Linked DNA regions of Notamacropus eugenii. The protein of the gene in region 1 interacts with the protein of each later gene in a pairwise test. Links are inferred from orthologs where the notes say so. Each region holds a gene or a part of one and is shown on either strand. Other genes may lie near its edges.

Region 1 (7,231 bases):
AAGTAAAGCAACTGTAAATCTTGGTATTACTATACATAACTATTTTATGCACAAGTTACGCTGAGAAAAGTTACTCTGGATAATTATGACATGAACATAATCTGTAACAAAACATCTGCTTTTATGCTACAGAATTGGGACAAATCTACGAATGTTTTTTGTATTTATATTCTCAGGCACAAGCACGCACACATACACACACAGAGGTACATATGTATGTACCTGAACACATATGCCTGGTACAGTAGAAAGTGCATCAAGTTTGAAGTCAGAGGACCTGCATGGAAATCTTGTCTTTGTTATTTCTGTGTGACTTTGTACAAATCACTTCACCTCCCTTGCCTCATCTGTAAGATAAGAGGGTTTGCCTCAATGACCAAAGACCAACAATCCTTATCATCAAAGAACTGACATTCACAAGTGGGACATGGCACAACAAGGATATCAGTAAGTAAATACACAGAATATACAAAGACACAGATATGCATTAAGTGCATGAACGCACACGTACAGAAATATGGATATCTAGGGACGAAGTAGAAGCAGTATGCTGATATAACCCACTGGAATAGATGATCACCATGCAAACAAAGGTAACCCAGAAGAAAGTTGGATTGCACACCCAGTCTGAGATGGAACCAAGACAAATTCATCAAGGTTAGCTTAATAAGCAAGCCTTAGGAAGAAATGAGGGCACAAAATTATTTGAGCTGTATAGGTAAAACAGGTACAGTCAAAAGGTTATCTATCAAAAGCATCCCAAAGAAACTATGAGGAATTGCACAGGAAGTGAATGGGTAAGGAAGTCCAAATGGAATTTGGTAACAAGGAGGAAAACAAAGATATGTTCTAAGAGAAATCAAGAAATCAAGAAAGAAGAGCCCATGAAAAAAGAACTGGAGGGTTGTGGCCCTAGTCAAGCTACTTAACCTCTCTGGTAAAACAAGGAGGTTCTACTAGAAGACTTCTTAGGGTCCCTTCCAAAGCCCTAAGTAATTTTATGATCCTAACTCCAAGATGGAGGCAATCTCTACTCTGCACAGTATGGCAGAGGGCCAAACTAATGGGTACCAAAAAGCCTTAATCCCAAAAGAACTTAACAAGACTGAAGCAGAAGAATTAGAAAGGCAGAGAGGTGTCATAAAGAAAGGACTGGCCTCTGAGTCCTGCCTCTGAAAGTGTGTGTGTGTGCGTATGTGTGTGTGTACATGTGTGTGTAAGAGACAGAGTATGGGTTAGGGCCCTTCACCTTACAGTGGTTTCCGAGATCTGCATTTCCTTACAGGAAGTTTCCTACACACCAATAAAATCACAGTTCTGGACCACAATAAGAAGTGGCAACCATTCTGGAACTGGCCAACATGCAAGTCTGCAGCGATCACAAACAGCCTATGGGAACAAGCAGAATGCATCCTACAAAGAAATGGCCCTGGATTTGAAATCTGCCCACTGCATGACCTGGACAAGTCATTTTTCATTTCTTGGCCCTTGTTTTCTTCATCAGAATTATGAAGGTGAACTATTTAATTCACCAAACATTTATTAAGTGCCCAGTGCAAGCCAGGTATTGGGGGAGGGGGACAACTGGAACCCTGACAAATAAATGCATAATATTAGTATGTCCCAAAAGTCTTAGTGTGGTTTTAAGTTTTAATAGTTTGGAAGAGCCTACATACCAAGTTTTGGCAGGGAGTTGAAGAACAGCGAGCATTAAATGATCTCTAGGATAACCACCCCGTCAGTCAACAAACCTTTATTAAGTACTTCAATAACGTGCCCTGGCACACAAAGCATAAAAGAGAAACTAAAAGTAGCTCATCACAGTCTAAATGGGGAGACAAACAGGCAAACAACTGTGCTTAGGTATACTAGGTGGACACACAAGACAGACACTGTGTAAATGGGAAGTAATCTCAGGCCAGTTCTAAATGCTCCCAATGGTCCTAGAAGACTGATGAACTATTTACCAGGAGCTGTTAGAGCTACAGTCGGGACAGCAGGGAAACTTCAGCCCTTAATGGAGGTAAAAAGGTGAAAGTCAGTTTTGGGCATGTGGAGGAAACAGAATTCAAAGGGCAGAAATTAGTCTAAGTAACTTTTCAGGCACAGTGGGTGGTGGGAAGGCCAGCAGATTTCAGGAAGGAACTGGGCTCAGGTCTATCCATGATGGACCCTGGACTTGAACCAGATAACCTCCAAGGTCCTTCCTTCCCAGCTCAAATCTATGCTCCCAAGATGCAGAGGGGCGATCACTTAACTTCTGAGCCTCAGTTTCCCCACCTGAATTAAGCTCTCAGGTCCTTTCCAGCTCTAAATCTACCCTGTTTCTTCATCTTTAAAATGGGTTGAATCTAATTATCAGGCTGCTAAGGTCCTTTCCAGCTCCGCATCTATAACCATAAAGGAAGGGGGAGAGGTGACAGGCATTAATTAAGCACCTACTGTGTGCCTGGCACTGGGGCGGGGAGCCTGGGGGTGGACGACTGCTAGTTTTCTTGGGCTATTAGGGGGCAGAGGGGGCGGCGCAAGAACAGGAGAAAAAGTGAGAATGGGACACGCCCCTCACGCCAACAGCCGGCCAGCAGAAAGGGAAACACACAAAGGAGCACGTGGTTGGCCGGCGGCGCCTCTAGCTCCGCCCAGGCCCCGCCCCGCCCACCCCGAGACCCCGCGCCCCGGCGTGGCCCCGCCCCCGCCCCGTGCTGTTCCCTTGTAAGGCAGTGGGCGCACGAGGCGCCGCCTCACTCCCTGGCAGGTGCCACAAGTTTTCCCGCGCCTGCGCGCGGCGCCGCCTCCTGCCGTGGCTCTCTGTGTAGCGGTGGAGCCGACGCCTGCGGCTCCTCCGTCTCCGGACTCTCGCCAAGGATGAGGGGAAGCGGGAGGCTTACCTTCTGGATCCGCTTCAACGCCATCCTACGACCCGCTGCAGGACCACGACTCAGCCCCGGGGCCGAGGGACGGCCACGGGAGGCAGCACAGCTAGGCTCGGCCGCCTCGCAGCTCTCTGCAAGGGGAGGAGCTCGGCTGGTGGCGCGTGCGCAGCGCGGGCCGGCCGCGGGGCACTGTGGGAGTTGTAGTTCTTTTTAGTCAGGCTTGGGATTGGGGTACCGAGCAAAAGCCTTTTTACGAAGTGATCTCCCTAGAGGAGGGAGACCCTGGGCTGGTGCTCTTCTGCCCCTCCCTTGATGGCCAGGCCTCTCTCTGCCAAACACTTTTCATACACTTGGGCAGATCACTTCTCAGAGCCTCAGTTTCCTCATCTGTTGAATGAGGAGCCAGACTGGTGGAGATGACCTCTGGGAACCCTTCCAGCTTCAAATCTTAGGGGAGGATGAGTGGCTGGCCAGCGTCCGGGACTGACCGCCGGCTGTTTGCATCCCTTCCTCTCCAAGTAGAGGGAGCTCCCTCAGTCATTCAAAAGGCATTTATTAAGTGCCAGCTTAGCCAGGGGTGCTAAGCTCTGGGGGTACAAAGAAAGTAAATGAAACAGTCCTAGCGCTGAAAGTCTAACAAGGGAAGCAACAGGCAAACAGCCATTTCTGTAAGAATACCTAGGGAGCAAAGGAATTGGAGTCAAGGAGATCAGGGTTTTGTCCTCCCTCAGACATCTGACTAGCTGGGTGACGCTAGATGCGTCACTTAACCTCCGAGTGTTTCCTTTTCCCCACCTATAAAAATGGGGAGATTACAGAATCTATCATCCATTGCTGTTGTGAAGATAAAATGAGACAATATTTGTAAAGCATTGCAAATCTTTAAGTGTTATTTAAATAATAGTTGTTATTATTACATGGAAAATAGTCATCTGAGGGGGAGAGGCACTAGTAGGAGGGGAGATTGGGAAAGGATCGAAGAAGATGGGATTTTGAGTCTTGATAGGAGGGGGACGGGGCATTCCTGTATAGGGGACACTGAAAAAGGCTTTGCTTAGAGTGAACTAGAAGGCTGGTGTCAATTGTACAGTACCCCACCCCAGAGGAGCAAAGTACAAGAAGATGGGAAAGGTAGAAAGGACCCAGTTTGTGAAATTAAATGCTGAACTGAAGAAAAGGAAGATGAAGATGCTGGAGAGAATGAACTGGGATAGAGGGGTAGACTGGAATGGAAAAAGAGGGAAAGGTGGTGAAAGTGGACTGGGAAGGTATATAAAGAGGATAAGGAAGCTGGGGCTGGTCAATGTGGGATCCACAGAGATGTGGGGCTAGAAGAGAGATACTGGATGCAGTCACCTCTTGGGTTTCTGCTGCTTCTCCAGGGCCCAGCAAGGGCTGTGGAATTCAAAGAAGTAGGCTGTCTCCCTGCCCCAAACCATCCTTCCCTTCCTCACTTTTGAGTGAATAGAGTGGGAGACTTGCCAGGAAGACCTACACTAAATCTTGCCTCAGATACTTACCAGCTGGGTGATCTCAGGTAAATCACTTAACCTGCCTGTGCCTCAGTTTCCTCATCTGTCAAATGAGGGGGTTGAAATTACTAGGTGCCAAGTACTATGCTAAACACTGGGGATAGAAATACAAGCAAAAAGGCAGACCCTGCCCTCAAGTACCTTACATTCCAAGGGGGAAAGAGCCCATAAAAGGGAAATGAAAGGGGAGGGTCCCCAAGTTGGGGATTCCCCTTCATGTACCTACATTTCAACTACATGGGTCTACTTGCTGTTTCCACAATTTACCATTCTACATCCCATCTCTGTGGAAGGAGAGCATTCCAGGTATGGGGAATAAGCTGTTCAAAGAAACAGATCAAATACAGATTAAAACTCTGAATTACATCCTATGTTCCTGTCCCTCTCTAAAACCTAGGACAGAGCCCCGTGCTTAACACAGTGCTTTGCACACTATAAAACTCAATAAGTGCTTGCTGTTTGAATAAATGTCTATTGATCAAAGTAGAGGGGAGCTAAGACAGAAATGCTAAAGGATTAGAACTGGGGTAAAGAGAAAGACTAGGGCAGGATTGATAGAAATAGTGCTCAAAGTGTACTGAAGGCCCACTACTTCCCAAGTTAAAAGCAGGGAGCAGAGTCTATCTGTGATCACAGGTGGAATCCCACACTGTTCTTAGTTTCTTATTTGTTCATTAGTCTAGTTCTCTTAGACTTTAAAAGGGAGAGTCATTTGAAAAACGTAATATCCACTTAACAGTACCCACATTTTCAGGTGAGCCATCATATCCTTGCTACCTGATCTTAAAGGATAGTAACCATGAGCCAAGGCTTCTTGCCCAACCTTTAATTTAATAAATATTGTTGTTGTAATCCTGTTTGCCTCAGTTTCCTCATCTGTAAAATGAGCTAGACGAGGAAATGACAAACCACTCCAGGATCTCTACCAAGAAAACCCCAAATGGGATCATGAAGAGTCTGACATGACTGAAAACAACTGAGCAACAGTATCTGAGTTTAATTTGTTTCTACACCAAATTATAAATGTTAAGTAGATACATTAAACCACCTTTGCCCAGTAAAGATGATAAGCCCACTCCCCCATCCCTTCCTCCATTTTTGTGTGCCCTTCTCCTATGCCCCAGTTATGTGAAAGAGTGAATTTCTTCCTCATTTCTTTCTTGTATTTTTTTTCCCCACCCTTTTCTTTTCCTCTCTTAAAACTAACAAAACCGCACCTAGTTTCTATGTTGGTGGTTCTTAATTCCCATGTTGACCATTGAAAGTTAGTAGGACGCGTCTGTTCTCACACAATTAGAATGTAAGGATTTCATCATCATTTTGCTCCCTCTAATTACTTCTCAATTTCCAATCCCATTTCAAAGTTTATACTCAACCATGGTATTTTCAACAAGAATGCTTGAAAGTTTTCTGTTCTGTTCAAGATCCATTTTTCCCTGTTAAGATTATGCAGGAAAAAAAAAATGTTGCAGTTTTGAAGGGCAGGTTATTCATGGTTGTTTGTGTTTGTCCTTCTTGCCAAAAAAGACCATGCCTTCAGAGAAATGATGACATGACTAGCATGTGACTTTGTTTTGAGTGAGGGAGGGCTATGCCAGGTCACCAGCCTCACTTCTCCTCCAGAGCCATCTGAATCCAGTGACCAGATATTCATCAGGATGACTGGAGATGACCCGGGATACACTGGGAGACCTTGGGCCGTTTAGGCCAAAGTCTTTGCAGGTACTCACTTATGGTGAGGCAACACCCATTCATTGAATAGGCCTGTTTAAGAAGTAGCCAGGGCCTGGTCCCTTTAATGAGACCTCGAGAAAGAAAGACATCAGAGGGAGAGGGAAACAGCAACAGTTACTACTGATAATCACTCTAAAGCCTGGAGGGTCCAGAAGAGCCCTTAGGCAAGGGCCCATTGGTGTCTCAGCTTCAGAGTGCAGTAGGTTTAAGGTTTTGAGAAAGAAGGGAAGGGAAGGAAACTAGCCAGTAAAACCCAAACCAACTGGGCATCTTTTGGCTATCCAAATTTACCTTCCTTTGGAGAGAAGGGAGGGGAGGGTGAGGTAGATTACTTTGCAGGTGTCCAGGACACTCTATAGAGTGGTTCCAGGAGTCAGTTGCTTTTCCTCCTTTCTCGAAGAAGACCACTGACATCTGGAGAGTGATTTGCTGTGTGAATTGGATTTAAGTGAGACAGAGCTGCATAAGTCATCAGCCTCACTCTCTACTTCAGAGTATTCAAAATCCAGTGGCAGCACAGAAGTCAAGACAGCTGGCGATAGATGACTTCAGCCTTTCTAAATGAAGATTTTTCCCAGGCCCCGGTATGTTCAAGGCAACATCCAGAGAAGCAATAGCTATATCGTAGGACAAGGAGAATGGACTGGTGATGAATGAACCCTTCCCTCCCTCAGTCCCCATCTATTGTGAGTACAAGACCAAGTACTACTTGGTGTAAAGGCTTTGGGGTTGTCCGTGTCTCAGTGAAAACAGCGAGAGGCAGCAAGCAAGGGTGTGAAAAATTCAGGCTAACCTAAGCTGCTGTGGCTTCCTCAAGTTACCATGGGTTTTTAGCCCAGAACTTTCACATTTTAAGTTCTTTTTTTTACTAAATACACTTTATACCTGAATAAGTAAATCTTCCCAGATCATGTGAAATTGAGGAAGGAAATGGGCAACCAAATGAATTTATTAATTTTGATGGTACTCTAGATAAGGGCCGAGGAGAGGAAACCGGGTGGGCTGTGATCTGAGACTACTCAGTAGTTTCCTAAGAGCCTCTTGTAGACATAGTGGAAATGATCTTAAGTCAGCAAGCTTTTAGCGCCTTCT
Region 2 (7,681 bases), on another chromosome or scaffold:
TTATACTTTGTCTTTCACCATGTGTCCTCATCTCTCAGGGGCCCCCCAGAAGGAAGTATATTTCATGGGCCTCATTGACATCCTGACCCAGTATGATGCCAAGAAGAAGGCGGCTCATGCAGCAAAGACTGTCAAGCATGGCGTGAGTGTTCCCCATAGGCTCATGTGCTCTACTGGCTCCTATCCCCACATTAGGGCTCAGAAACAATTGTTAGGGGGAGAGCTTCAGCTCTCTTTGGGAATCTTTTGTAATGACCAGGGGTTGGGGAGAGGGATTAAAGAAATGAATGTGGAAATCAGAGGAAGGATTTGGGGTGAAGGAGCAATCCACCCCTAGATCCACCCTCAATCCTGTCTTTGTTTTTCAGTTCTCTTTGTTTCTCAATTCTCTCTTTCCACAGGCTGGGGCAGAGATCTCTACTGTTCATCCTGATCAATATGCCAAGCGGTTCCTAGATTTCATCACCAACATCTTTGCCTAGGAGACTAACTGGCACTCCATGATATCTCCTTAGATTGGGTGGGGGAGGAAAGAGTGACAGGGCTATAGGGGGAAGACTGAAGGAGTTACAGGTGTCCTCTTCCTTAGCTAAGTCCAGGTTGCCTCTCCCCGCTCCCAGAGTGATGTCCTCCCTGCTTCTTGTCCTACCCACACCAGCCCCAGAGTCAGCTTCATTAGGGTTTTACTGAGGATTTTTTTTTCACTCCCAAGTGCCTTGATCTTTGTAAAATGTCGTTTTATTTTTGTAAAATAGGAGGAGCTGAATTGGTTGGGGGGAGGGGTATCTTCTGACCCTGGCAGGACCAATGACTGGTTCCGGATGTTGCTCTGGCCTGGAAAGCTTGAGCCTAAGCATGGCTTGAACTTTGCTGTTTAACTTTATTGGAGGCATAGAGGCTCACTCTTCACTCTTCCAACATTCCCTCATGTACCTGGGGCAGATGGGGATGCAGCAGTGTGCATAAAGTGGTGTAGCCAGTCTTGCTCATTGAAGTGGAGGGGTGTGTGGAAGATGCAGCCAGCAGGTTGGCTTCTCACTGGGTTGGGGACTTGAGGGATTACTTGGCTTTGTCAGGGACTTTGAATGGTTTCCTAGCCCCAGTGTCCTGAGAACCTAAGTCTTTTAGCATTCTCTCTGTCTAGGCCCGAGTTGGGGTTGGTGTTTGGTTGCTGCTGCTGGATACCAGAGCCTCTGTCCCTACCTGGGACTGGGACCATTTCTTTAGGCATTTAGGTGGCTAGTCTGGGAGACTGGGGTAAAGAAAGATTCTGGAGCTAAAAGCTCACTATATTTAATATTACTTTCTTTTTGTCTACTTACTTTTGGGTATTGTTCCAGGGACAGGGGAATTCCTCAACCTGGACCAAACCTGGTTATTTTTGGGGTGAATTGAACTCAGCACCATTCCTTCTTCCTCTCTCCCTTCAGCTTTGTCATCAGCCTGCCCCCTTTCAACTTGCCTTGTGCTGTTGTTATATCTCCCAGAAATAGGTGACATTGTCCTCCTTATTCCCTACCTCCTGAGAGGAATCAGCCATAACTGTCCCTCCCTGAATTATATAGGAGTAGTATATCTAACTGGGGGTTGAGGGGCATGAGCATAGGGGAAAGGGCTATAGACTCACTTTGGAGTTGAGACAATCACTCCTTCCCAGGTTTCTCCAGTATTGTCCAAGGTTATGGGTCAGTGCAGTACTCCCTGTGTGGCTGGACTGTTCTGTCAATAAGAGATAGCCCTGTGAATGTTTTCTCCCACCTACTCCCTTGCTCCCACTTTTATTCTTCAGGAGGAGGAAACTGAAGTTGTGTGTGTGTGTGTGTGTGTGTGTGTGTATGTGTGTGTGTGTGTTATGGCTACCTGATTTGTGTGTGTGTGTGGTATGTGTGACATCTAATATGTGCCTCCCTCTTATCCCTCCTCTAGGGGCCTGGTTGAATTTACTCCTTCCCCCTATCTTTCCCCTGTCTAAATGCAATAAAATTTAGGACACCTGCAACTGCCTTTCTCTAGAAATTGGTTTTCTGACCATGTAGCTGATGCATCAGGGGCAGTATGGGTGTCTTCATTTGTTGCAATTTTTTTTTTAAAGAAAAGAAAAAATAATAATCTTGCATATTCCCATTGCTGTCTCAACATAGAAGTAAATTATTAAACCTGAACTGGTCCCTCTTTGTGCTTTGTGTATTTTTGAGATTCACTGTGGCATGGGAGTACTAGACATGGAGTAAATAGACACTGCCTGGATGGGAATCCCATATTACAAATTTAGTAGTGTATATTTTTAGCCAAATAACTTAATCTCTCTAATCTTCCTTATCTGTGAAATGGGTATAATGCCTTTAATCCTTCACAAGGTTGTCAAAGGGATCAAATGAGACTAAAGTGCTTTGGAAACCCTAAAATACTATAAAAAAGCTGTTATTGAGTGTTGGGGTTCAGAATAAGGAAGAACGGGGAGCTGAAAAGTCTAGCAGCAAAACTGTGGTGCCCTAAACCTGGAGACTATGTTTTGAGGATGAGTGATGATGATCCTTAAAGGAAAATGGAATATTTGGGGAAGGGGAGAGGAGAAGAAAAAGTCTTGGGTTGCCTGAGGTTTTTGTTTTTTGCCTTAGGAATATAATAGATTATATTTGAAGAGGAAAAGAGAAGTATCTCTCAACTATGAGAACTTTGAAGTGCCAGATATTGAACTTGGAGGTTAACCTCCTCTGGGATCTTGATTTCTTGGAACACATAGCCCTTCAATAAAATGCATGTGTCCTTTCAGCAGAGAAGCTGAGTAGGAAGCAAGCTTCTTGGGAAGAAATCTTCTGACTGCAAGGGAGAGAGTGGGTGAGGGGAAGGGATACAGCTGGGTCCTGGGAAAGCATGCTGGAGAAAAATCAGTCATCTAGTCCCAGGGGTGGGAAGAATGAATTGATAGTGCTCTCCCAACAGTCCCCTGGGATTTCCAAAAGCCTCCTTATTAAATTCCTCTTTGGCTGCTGGGAAAGAAAAAAAACAGTTAAAAAAAAAAAAAGACTTGTAGATGAGGCCCTAGGGTGAACAAAAGGGTACAAGGTTTTAATCTGGAATGCAGCACAGATTTGGATTAGGCTGGGTATTTTGGGAGGAGTATTAGAAGGGCTGAGCAGCAAATGAACTTTGAATCCCCTTTTTCAGGGCACCTTGATAACATTCTACTTCCTCATTTTCCCTTTCTGTTAATGTGTGGGCTAAAGAATTTGTAAATTCAAAGTTGGGCTCTGACTTTGGCATTTGGAGATGGGTGAGGATTATTGTTGGAGGGGACTTCAATTTGAGAGCAATACAGGGTTATTTTAAGAGTCATGGTATAATTAGGAAAGTGTTGACCTCAGCACCTGGAGAACTGGACTTGAATTCCCCAGGTAGATGTTTACTAACTGAGTGGCCGTGAAAAAGACTCTTCCTTGAGTAGGACCAGGAGAACACTAACATAAAGACTTAAGAATTCTGATGTTGAGAGACTCAGGAATTCTGATCAAAACCATGACCCACCATGATTACAGAGAATTGTAGATGAAATCTGCTACCCATTTCCTAGCAGAGAGGACTCAGAATGCAAATTAAGGCAATGGTTTTGACCATGTCTAATATGAGAATTTGTTTTGCTGGATTATATATGTTTTTAACAGGTTTTTTTTTTTCTTGCTTCTCAGTGGGGAGGGGGAAAGAAGTGGAAGAGGTCAGATCTCTTGGAAAAAAGTAAAATTTTTGTTTTTTGAAAAATAAAATACTAAAAATAGAAAAGTTGCTGAAATTGAAAATTCTGTTCCTTAGGCTTTTCCATTGTAAAAGAGGAATAATAATTTACCATCTACCTTGAATAATGGATATGAGCGAAGCTCTTTATAAGACTTCCAAATGCTATAGAAATGGGGTTGAGGGGTGTATTATTCTCTTAATCTATTCCACCTTTCTGCCTGCGTTCCTGTCTGGCCTGAACGCTAAAATGGGTAAATGATAAAGAGTGTCTTCCCTTCACCCAACTTCAGGATCTTAGACTCAAAAAGTTGAAAGGGACCAGCCATCTAGTCCAGTCCATTCATTTTGCCCATAAAGAACGGAGCCTCAGATAAGTCAGATGGCTTATCCTAGGTCACACGGAGAACAGGGGCGTATTTTTAATATCCATTATTCCTTCATTTCAATTTTCTGTGGCTCCATCTGCAATGAACATCCTAAAAGTGGGTAAATGGTCGAAAGGGGGCTCCTTCCACCCAATCTCATAAATCTAGGACAGAGAGCCGACGGGCATCTTCGAGATCATCTCCCTGTCAAGACCCGGGGCAGAGAAGTCAGTGACTCGCCCTGGGCCACACAGCTCAGAGGGGTCTCGGGTGGCCCTTGAACTCAGGTCATCCAATTTCCAGGTCGATTCGCTCGACCAACCCGACTCCCACAAAGCCGAGGTTGCCCGGGCTCCGTCCACCCCCACCGGCAGCCGCGCAGTGGACTGGGAAAGCAAAAAGGTGAGAAAGGTGGAAGGCGGTGCTGGGGAGGGGCACAGGTGAAGGAGGGCGGGGGGGCTTCTTCCCCGGGCTCCCAGGCTGGCTCGCCTCTCCCTCCCTCACCGCCTCCCCCAGCCCTGCCCTCGCTCCCTCCCAGCCTCCCTCCCTCGCTCCCTCCCTCCCTCACCCCTCCCCGCCCTGCCCTCGCTCCCTCCCTCCCTCGCTCCCTCCCTCCCTCACCCCTCCCCGCCCTGCCCTCGCTCCCTCCCTCCCTCGCTCCCTCCCTCCCTCACCCCTCCCCGCCCTGCCCTCGCTCCCTCCCTCCCTCACCCCTCCCTGCCCTGCCCTCGCTCCCTCCCTCCCTCTCTCCCCGCCCCCAGGAGCGTCCTCACGGAAGGAGGGCTGGGGAGGCGCAGGAAGGACGCTCCGGGATTGGAGGTGGAGCCCGAGAGGCGGCAACTGTCGCCTCCGATCTGGAGGAGGGGGCCGCTGCTGTGGGCCCCGCCTCCCCTCCTTTAGGTCCCCCCTCCCCGGTCCCCCTCCCCATCTTCATCCCTCTCCCTCCTCTCCCCCCCACCCCGTTGCTAAGGTCCGGACCGTCATCCCAGCAACAGCCTCAGTCATGTGACCGGCGATGGCGGCGCTGACGGGAGGTAGGTGAGCCCGGCGGCCCCCCCTCCCCCCAGCGCCCCCCGGACGCGGGCTCGCGCCCCTCGGACCCGACTCCCCGGAGCGCGGGGACCCTCGCCTTTCCCCACCCGCGGCGGCCGCTTCCCAGCCGGGCGTCTTCCCCTGGGCTGCGGGGTCGGGGGGATGGATGCTGGGGAGGGTGCTGCGGGGCCTCGGCGGGGCCTGCCAGCTGCGGGGCCGGGGAGGGGGCCCGGGCGTGTGCGCGCGGGGTCTGTGTGTATCCGTGTGTGCGCCGGGGCAGTCAGGGCCCGGTGTGGCGCGGGGTGAGGGCTTCGGGAAAGGGGCGATGGGGACTCGGGGATCCGGGCCCACTCCAGCAGCTTCGCTGGCCCCGCCCCAATCTGGGGGGTGGGACCGGCCCGGTAGGTCACGGACCGCCGGGCCCTTCCCTCCCCCCGACATTTCCTTAGCCAAACCAGTGTCCGGGGTTGCCCTCCGCTGTCACAGGGCTCCCAGCCTGGAGCCACCCTGCCCCAGGGTTTGGGCTAAGAGCCCTTAGGGGTAGACAGCCTCGGGGTTGGGAGGGGGATGGGAAGTGGAGGGGGGGGTGGATAGGATGGAGACACAGGCAAGGGCAGCCTTTTCTCCCAACAGAGAGGGTCAATGTTTGATTTAGCCAGAATTTAAACTTGACCCCTAGTTCAGTCCCGAGGTTCTCCTCCTAGCTGGATGAGAGATGGAGACCTGAGGAAGTACACCTGTGAGCACGAAGGGCATGCCCCAGTTTCTAGGAACTAGACCCATGTATGAATATTCCCCATCCATGATAGCCTATGCTGATGGACAGATGAGATACCTGGTCTTAAACTAGTAAGAGTGAACTATGGATATTTTTTTGTTATAGAGTCTGCTACCACTTTGTCCACATCTTCAACAGCCAGCAAGCAGGAGTGATTAAGGTTAGACCTTAGGGAGGATTTGCAGGCCTTGAGGGTATACAATTTGGGAATCAGGAGGAATTGTGAGAGCAGTGGAAGTGCAAGAACACAGAGGAAATTCCTACCTGTTTGAACTGAGGGCAAGGGGGCAGGATAATGGTTAAGACAATTGACAGATCAGTTTTTGAGACTTTTCCAATATCAGTTATTCCTCTTTTCTCGTATCTTTTCACTGAAGGAAAAAGGCCCCTGAAGTAAGGTCATAGTGTTAGGGATGAAAAGAGGTTTGAAGCTGGAGTATTGAAGTTTCAGTCTCCACAAAGCTTCTTTTGGAAAGGGGATGGAATACCAAGGGTGGGGGAAGAGAAAGGGAGATGCCGGGTGCAATTGGCTGGTGTCAAGGAGGGAGGAGAAAGGGAGGGACAGGTAAGGAAACAATTTCTATTATAACCCTATTGCCCTCACCCAGTGTTGGGGTCAAAGTCCAGCTGAGTGTGGAAACTTCCGGGATTCCTCCTGCCACCATCGTCCATGGGCTCTCCAGGTACCAGTCCTCCAAGTAATTTGATGCCTACCCATCCCTCACTGTTCCTACCCCAGGGATCTTGTTTTCAGTGCTTCAGTAACTTTGACTCTAGAAATCCCAATTCTTCCACTCCCAGGGCTGCTCAAGTACATAGGGTCTCTGAGTTAGGATGTATCCAGGAAGGTTCCCTTATTTTCTCCCCAACTCTGGACAGAGAGACTCACCACCACCACCATTAGATCAGATATTTCTAGCCCATAAGTAGGGACATAGAGAGAGAAAAGGAAAGCCAATTCTGGATATGCCAGGCTGGGAAGCCTCCCTGCCAGGGTACATGACTTTACCCTGGACAGGGAAAAAGGTAATCAGTGTAACTATAGGGGAAAGTGGGATCAATTCATATGTTTGGTTTAAATGGTAATAAATCAATTGAATCTCCCATTCTGAAAGAAGACCCTATAAGACTGCTGGGAGTTGTGGGAGGGGGGACCAGGAAGAGATACTATGCCTTGGGTTTGGGATTGAATGAAAATGAGAAGGCCATTGTACCTTGAAGCAACTTTCCTTACATTGCAATATAATCTTTCATCTTGAGGAATTACCCTAGTCTTTACTGGGAGAACTTTGGTTAGAATGCAGTAGAATGGAAGGGATGCTGAACTTTGGAGATTAAAATAAAATGGGTACTTCTTTGGTGAGAGGTGGTATTGGGTTGGGCTTTGGAATGGGGCTAATGCTAATCTCACGTAGGTAGTGGGAACTGAGAGTAGAGGCACTGGTATTTGGCAAATAGACCCTATCCTGAAGCCCTTTCATTCTGGGGCAGTGTCGTTCGTCCTGTCCAGGATGGCGGCCTGTGGGGGCAGCTGCAAGAACAAGGTGACGGTCTCAAAGCCAGTGTGGGACTTCCTGAGCAAGGAAACACCAGGGCGACTGGCCCGGCTTCGGGATGAACACCGAATATCCATCCTCATCGATGGAGAGACGTCGGACATCTATGTTCTCCAGCTTGCTCCCCAGGGCCCCCACCCAGCCCCTCCCAATAGCCTCTACCTTGCTAGAAAGGCTCTCAAGGGGCTGCTGAAGGAGGCAGAGAAGGAGCTGAAGAA

What was found. The genes of interacting proteins can lie anywhere in the genome.
Region 2: the proteins of UBE2D4 (region 1) and DTX3 interact in binary tests that used the Homo sapiens proteins (3 or more experiments, as listed by UniProt). The link is inferred for Notamacropus eugenii from reciprocal best matches to the Homo sapiens genes UBE2D4 and DTX3.

What each region holds. Positions count from the first base shown.
Region 1 is NC_092872.1:716,917,976-716,925,206, forward strand, and holds the start of UBE2D4 (ubiquitin-conjugating enzyme E2 D4), read right to left. Parts: upstream 3,065-7,231; 5' UTR 2,913-3,064; coding exon 2,889-2,912; intron 1-2,888. UniProt on the Homo sapiens protein: Accepts ubiquitin from the E1 complex and catalyzes its covalent attachment to other proteins. In vitro able to promote polyubiquitination using all 7 ubiquitin Lys residues, but may prefer 'Lys-11' and 'Lys-48'-linked polyubiquitination.
Region 2 is NC_092874.1:232,973,680-232,981,360, forward strand, and holds the start of DTX3 (probable E3 ubiquitin-protein ligase DTX3), read left to right. Parts: upstream 1-4,647; 5' UTR 4,648-5,131; intron 5,132-6,012; 5' UTR 6,013-6,067; intron 6,068-6,515; 5' UTR 6,516-6,577; coding exon 6,578-6,590; intron 6,591-7,398; coding exon 7,399-7,681. Other genes in the region: PIP4K2C (phosphatidylinositol 5-phosphate 4-kinase type-2 gamma), read left to right, coding at 39-142, 402-482. UniProt on the Homo sapiens protein: Regulator of Notch signaling, a signaling pathway involved in cell-cell communications that regulates a broad spectrum of cell-fate determinations.